2 linked regions of the Oryza sativa Japonica Group genome follow. The protein of the gene in region 1 binds, or shares a complex with, the protein of each later gene. Links are inferred from orthologs where the notes say so. Each region holds a gene or a part of one and is shown in the gene's direction. Other genes may lie near its edges.

Region 1 (2,715 bases):
AGTTGGATGCGATTAGGTGCAAAAACTTAAAAACCGAGTATAGCGGTACAATAACTTGGCTAGGTGGGTGCGCTCATGGTGCAAAAGTTGCTACGCCATTGTTCCACCTCAGCGAAAGTGCCACATGAGCATGCATTGACCATCTCATTTTACAGAAAAGTCCCTAATAACTTTTGTATTCCAATTACTTCTTCAGATATATCTGTTTTCCTCCTGTATCACAATGATCAAACCAGTCCATCTTCTCATCCAAATAAATTCTGCTACTGCCAACTCCAAAAAAAAAACCCACCACGATACAGTTCAATTGTGAATTCTTCTTCCTCATGACCTGCAATACAAAATAATTGGTTGATGTGTTATACCGCATAAGGAAAATAATATTATTTGCAGATTATTCAACTAATTATATCTACTGAAAAGGGTACAACACATCTAGCAAGAATTTCTCATTGCCAATGTTTCTCTTATATCATATACAGTTATAGGAAACACCAATAATTACAGTAAAACCAATCTAGTGGCTAGTACCATTAGATCACTTCATTGAATTGTAATAACAAATAACAGGATATTCAAGTGAAAACCCAAAAAAATGCAGCCATTGTACAGATCAATAAAACCTTAACTTTGAAATCATCCATCAAATGAACGAAAAATAGAAATCTACAACCATCAGCAAGTGATTTACCATAACAAGCTAGGAGCAAATTGTCGGCTTGAATTGGTTTGGTTACTGGTTTAGTGCTTGAATTAATGTGGCACACGAAGCCCTCGCCGCCGCTGCGATGTAACGGTTTCCCTCGTTGTCGTCGTCACTGCCGCCGCCACCATCGCTGCGCCGCCATCGCCACCACCGCAGCCGCCTCTCAATTAGGAACACGTCGAGAAAAATGGAAGGAGATATGCATTCGTTTGTTCTGATTGTCGAGTTAAAAAGGAAATGTGATTGGAACAAAAAAAAAAGCTATTTGTGGTTTTCTATAAAATGAGATAGGTCTTTCATATCAAAGCTGATGTGGCAATTTTGCTAAGGTGGAATAGCAACGTGGTAATTTTTTTTACATGGCTACTTTTGCACCATGAGCGCACCCACCTAACCAAGTTATTGTACTGCTATGCTTGATTTTCAAGTTTTTACACCTAATCGCACCCACCTGCCAAGTTCTTGTACCGCCAACGCAATTTATTCTTTAAAAAATTTTTATGATTAGTATTTTTGTTATTGTTAGATGATAAAACATGAATAGTACTTTATGCGTGACTTATGTGTTTTTAATCAAAATTTGACATGGAAACTCATAACTGCGTTTAAAATAGGATGGTTGGAGTAATTAAAAAAAAGTTCCAACTCGATTAATCTGCGCCGTTGATTTGCAATCAAACGGCCCAGCAACTCGATTAGTCCTCTAAAGTAAGATCAGAGAGAAACACTCACACACCAGCACACGGCGACCTCATCGGCTCATCCTCCTCGATTCCGGCGGCCGACTCAAATCCGAATCGCCCCAAGAGAGAGAGAATGGCGGCGGCGGCGCTCCGACCGGCGATCCTCCGCCGCATCCGCCTCTCCCCCTCCCCTGCGGCGGCTGCGGGGGCCGCGGCGGCGTCCCAGCCCCACGCCCTGGCGCGGTGGCTCGCGCGGCCCATGTCCTCCCACGACGCCCACCTCACCCGCGACGAGGTCGTCGACCGCCTCCTCGACGTCCTCAAGTGCCACCCCAAGGTTGACCCCTCCAAGGTACAACCAGCCCGCAGCTCGAATCCACGCCGCCGCCGTCGCCATCCGAACCCTAACCCTAGCTTGTTGTTGGCAGGTGAGTCCCGAGGCGCACTTCGAGAAGGATCTGGGGCTGGACAGCCTGGACACGGTGGAGGTGGTGATGGCGATCGAGGAGGAGTTCAAGCTCGAGATCCCCGACCAGGAGGCCGACAAGATCGACTCCCTCCCGCTCGCCATCGAGTACGTCGCCAACCACCCCATGGCCGCCTGACCTCACCGATCCGTCGTGCCGTGGTGAGGCTTTTCTTGATTTACTATTTTTGTTCTGCGGGGGATGAATAATTTTGCTGGAGTGGTTCAGGAAAACTTGTCCCTGGTACTCTAGATTATGTGTTATGTTGCCATCGATGTCGATCTCTAATGTAACATCCACAATTTCGGTTTTGTGACAATATGATGCTAGATTCTTGCTCTTTTGCTCAATTGTTCATCATGTCGGATGTGCCGTTGTTGTTAAATAGTTTTGGGATGTGCTGTTGTTGATGAACTAGTTTTGTGGTGCACAAACTTGCTCCAGTTTGTTGCAAGATCTGTATGTGCAAATTTCATTCTTTAACAACATAGTGTTGCATTTTCTTTTAACAGTTCTCTTCCATCTGCTTATGCATATGGAGACCAAGCAGGCTGCTAAAAGAATCATGGCTCGGTTATTGTAGGAAATAATGTAGGATGTGGGACATCTCAGTAGTTTCGTGAAAAATGTATGCTACCTTTTGTTTCCCCCATTTTAGTAGTTTTCAATTTGGTTTTATGTGACCAAATTATGGTTAGGCTATTCAAATGTATTGCATTTCTTGCATCCGAAAATAAAATTGAGTTTAAGACACCCCATTTAATCGCGTAACCCTCAAATCCAGTTCAAGACAAGCTTATGATGTGAAGTGAACACGGCAGATACTCAAGTTTGTACTTGCATTTTCCCTACCATCCAG
Region 2 (4,169 bases), on another chromosome or scaffold:
TGGAATTTATCGCGGCGGTTCAAGAACAACTCATGGGATTCATCAACGAAGAAATCCTTGATCCCAAGGGTGAATTCTACTACGACGGAAACACAATTCACTGGTCCTTAGCTTCTGAGCTAGCAGCGAGTACTACTACGTCGAAACCGTAGCTAGCTAGGACATATAATGGATTGTAATTAATACATGACTACATATGTTTCTATATGCATGTGTACACATTTTCTATAATGTAAATATATTTTGTTCATATATATATCTATATACATATGCATTTGCATAACATATATATGTATAAATACATATATATATGTATGCATATATATGTATTGAAACATATATATGCATGGTTTATATATATATATATATATATATATATATATATATATATATATATATATATATATATATATATATATATATATATATATATATATATATATATATATATAAACCATGCAGCACCAGGGGCATGCAAAAAAAAAAGGTCAGCTCTAGCTTTAGTCCCGGTTGGTAACACCAACCGGGACTAAAGATCGATCTTTACTCCCGGTTATTTCACCCGGGACTAAAGATAGCGATCTTTAGTCCCGGATTGGTACTCCCGGTTTGGAAACCGGGACTAAAGGGGGGTTACGAACCGGGACTACAAAGGGTTTCTCCACCAGTGGTTTCTATACAAAAGTTGCTTAAAAAAATCAAATTAATCCATTTTTGAAAAAAATAGCTAATACTTAATTAATCACGCGCTAATGGATCGCTCCGTTTTCCATGCTACTGTTCCAAGTTGGGAACAACCCATAGCGAACACAGCTTTACTCTCATATGAGTTCTTTTCTCCTCTTTTTCTTGAGAATTTCTGTCTGAAGAAATTGCTTAGTATTAGTAGCTCAATGTCATTGGAGAATTTGTTTATTTTGAATAGAGGCCAGGCAATACCAAGGATCAGCTTGTGGTACATTGAATATATGTTTTTTTTAGAATGTTTCATTGAATATATGTTGAGAACATGTTTGTTTTGTATTAGAACTGTTACAATATTTTTTTTCATAAACTTGGTCAAACATAAACATATTTAAATAGGAAAAAAATCAAAGTGACTTGTAATATGAAATGGAGGGAGCAGAAAAATATTTACGGATTTCGCTAGGATACCCACAAATGTAAGAAAAGATAAAAAAATAAAGGAAAATACAAGTGGTTTACAATGAGGTCCTTACCAGATTAGTAGAAGCCCAAATCCATCAAAAATTGGCCCAACTACAATAATACCCTGTGTGCTAAAGCCCAGCCCACTACTATACAAAAGGCCTAGCCCATCAAGGCCTTGCTAGCCAGTATCCACCCTCCTCCGCTTGGGCCACCTGTCAGTTGGGTCTCCTCTCCTCCGCATCCGAATCCCACCACACCATCGGAGAGGAGAGAGAAGAGGAAGCAAGCGGCGGCGGCGGCGGCGGCGATGGCGACGTCGGCGGGGTTCCTGGCGCGGCGGGCGGCGCAGAAGGAGAGGGTGCGGCTGCTCTACCGCCGCGCCCTCAAGGACACCCTCAACTGGGCCGTCCACCGCCACCTCTTCTACCAGGACGTGAGCTCTCCTCTCCTCTCCCCCCTTTCCGATCTGCTCCCCCCGTGCTCGCGGATCTGACCTCGTGTTCCTCCCCCCTCCCTCGCAGGCGTCGGATCTCAGGGAGAAGTTCGAGGCGAACAGAGATGTGGTAACGCCTCCGTTTCCGCTTCCCGCATCTCCGCCTCCGCTTGTTGTGTTGTGTCGCGAAATGAACTCGCGAGTTGTAGTTTACGAATGGTTTTTTGTGTGTTTGATTTTGTGAGGGGAATTGCAGGACAACCCGGATGTGATCGATAGGCTTATCGATGATGCGGAAGCGCAGTACAGGAATTTCCAGCATCCCGATCCCTACATTGGTAAGCTCTGAAATGCTGGAGAATTTTGCTTTCACTGCCGAAACCTCTCTTTCAAGCCGAATTTCTCTTGTTAAGTCATGTAGGATGGTAGCATTTCTGTTTGGTTTGGCGTTTAATTTTTTACTTTCAAGGCTTCAGAACTCTTAAAATGGGTACAAGATAAGTAGGGGTGTTCAACTATGATTTGTAAGAAACCTTCCAAAACAAACTTAAGCAAAAGTAGCTAGTGATTAGCGTTGCCACTGATGTGATTACACGGTTTCACTGGAACCATATATGAACATCCCTGCTGATAAGTATGCGGTGCCATACAGATTTGCTTCTATAAAGTAACTGCCTTACAGATTATTATCTTTCAAATGGCAATGCCAAATCACCATTCAGCTCATAGTTATTTCTACCTATATTGTTTAAGATTACCCCAACTTGCTTGGGAGTTGGGACTAAAAGGCTGCAGCTGTTTCTGAGATGTATTGCTAGTTTCAAGTCAATGTACTGGACTACTGGTGCAATGAGCTGATATGTGAATCTCACAAATCAGACTGACTTTGTATTCACCGTTGCTGTAAACACTACTGCCTTGTACTAGAGATATTCAAACTTCCCTTAGGAGTTAGTAGTATGTTTTAGGCATATTATGATGCCCTTGATGATGTGATCAATAAGGTGGGGTTCTTATATGCTTGTTCGAATCTCTGCAGTCCCATGGGCTCCTGGTGGCAGTAAATTCACAAGAAACCCTCCTCCACCTAAAGGGGTAAGAACATAAATTCATAATTTTTTATCTTATCATGCCTGACTCCTTTTCCTCGTCCAATATTTGCTTGTCCTTAGTAGAAATTGATGTAGTGCTTGTCATTTATAATGGTTTTCTTGGAGATTTGTATCTAAATGTTTAACAAAATTACTCAGCAGATTTAGATCACCTTAATTCAAACATTAGTCCACATTGGAGTACATCTCTGTTTGTCGAAACACATAACTCTTTGTTCTAAATCTTATTTTATGCTTTTAGATGTGTGACTATAAACTGATTAATAAAGAGGTAACTGCCACAAACTGTATGGTTAGTTAAGTTGCCTGTTCTGGTTTTGGTGCTGCATTCTCTTAGTCACCATCCACTTTACTAGCTCAATTTTTATTCTTTTGGTACTACCAGAGAGTATTTTGTTCCAGTTGTATCCAAATTACTTATATGGCATGTATGCTTCAGTCAAAACTTGACAAGCATATGTGAATAGTATGCAAATTTTAGTTTTATGGATAAACATATGTGAAAAGAAGCAAATTCTGTGCAGTTTGCGATGCATTTTAGCTTTATGAATAAGGATTTACTTGCTGCCATACTTGTTCCGGTTTTGCTGCTGTCACATTGTTTTCCTTTGATTTTGTGTTTCGTGCATCAAAGTGTCGCAATCAGTTTATAAGGTGATTATATGACTCCTGCAGATCGAGATTATCTACAACTATGGAAAAGAAGACTGATGAACAGGAGCCCTGCTGCATCTAGGAGCAGAACTTAGCACCTCCAGGGTGCAAACAACTTAATTTCCCTTTTTCCAGTTGATAACGTGCAATCGACATGTTGTATGATCAATAAGAACGAAGCCACTGGTCTGTCACCCTTTTGTTTCGTTTTTCCATCAGCTAGTGCATTGTTGTTACATACACATCGCTATGCCTATGCATCATTTATCTTTCAGTCAAGCATAAACTGCTTAATGTGTTACGTTCGATTGATCCATCCAACCTACTTGCATTTGGTTGTCAGCGTGGCGTCACAACTCTGGGCCGTTGCCTTTTTATTATCCGTTAAAAATGGCGCAAATGTTTGTATTCGTATGAAATCCTTGTGAATTTTTCTCTATCCCTAAACGGTTCGTCCTGAATCCAACTGTTGCGATTCCGAGTCTTGGAAGGCACGGATCCAACGGTTGCCCCGATGCAGCGCACGCGGCGGCACAAGCGATCTCCACCGTCTACCTACTTAACCTTCGTGGCGGGCGGCGACGCTCCTCTTCCTCTTCACGAAACCGAAGCGACGGCAAAACTCCCTCACTGACGACTGGGTCCCACCACTCTTTCCGACCCCACCTGTCAGTGTAACCCACTCTCACTGAGGACCGGGTCCCACCACTACTCGGACCCCACCTGTCAGTCTGACCCAAGCCCCGTTAGTTTCTCGTTAAACCAAAGCGAAGCAAAGCAGTCGACGGAGAGGGGGAGAAGAAGAGGGAGGAGTAGAC

Evidence for each region.
Region 2: the proteins of acyl carrier protein 1, mitochondrial (region 1) and NADH dehydrogenase [ubiquinone] 1 beta subcomplex subunit 9 are in contact, whole or in part, in a cryo-EM structure (PDB 8BEH), measured with the Arabidopsis thaliana proteins. The link is inferred for Oryza sativa Japonica Group from reciprocal best matches to the Arabidopsis thaliana genes MTACP-1 and CIB22. Residues at the interface, in NP_181990.1 of Arabidopsis thaliana: Asp78, Ser79, Leu80, Asp81, Val83, Glu84, Val86, Met87, Glu90, Glu91, Lys94, Leu95, Glu96, Ile97, Asp99, Lys100, Ala102, Asp103, His118, Met120; in NP_567970.1 of Arabidopsis thaliana: Glu18, Arg21, Ile22, Tyr24, Arg25, Arg26, Leu28, Lys29, Leu32, Arg38, Phe41, Arg49, Phe52, Asn53, Tyr84, Ile85, Val86, Pro87, Trp88, Ala89.

What each region holds. Positions count from the first base shown.
Region 1 is NC_089041.1:6,877,072-6,879,786, forward strand, and holds acyl carrier protein 1, mitochondrial, read left to right. Parts: upstream 1-1,440; 5' UTR 1,441-1,522; coding exon 1,523-1,741; intron 1,742-1,817; coding exon 1,818-1,994; 3' UTR 1,995-2,206; downstream 2,207-2,715. UniProt on the Arabidopsis thaliana protein: Carrier of the growing fatty acid chain in fatty acid biosynthesis. May be involved in the synthesis of short and medium chain fatty acids.
Region 2 is NC_089040.1:31,147,716-31,151,884, reverse strand, and holds NADH dehydrogenase [ubiquinone] 1 beta subcomplex subunit 9, read left to right. Parts: upstream 1-1,366; 5' UTR 1,367-1,459; coding exon 1,460-1,585; intron 1,586-1,673; coding exon 1,674-1,715; intron 1,716-1,841; coding exon 1,842-1,923; intron 1,924-2,624; coding exon 2,625-2,680; intron 2,681-3,372; coding exon 3,373-3,408; 3' UTR 3,409-3,693; downstream 3,694-4,169. UniProt on the Arabidopsis thaliana protein: Accessory subunit of the mitochondrial membrane respiratory chain NADH dehydrogenase (Complex I), that is believed to be not involved in catalysis. Complex I functions in the transfer of electrons from NADH to the respiratory chain.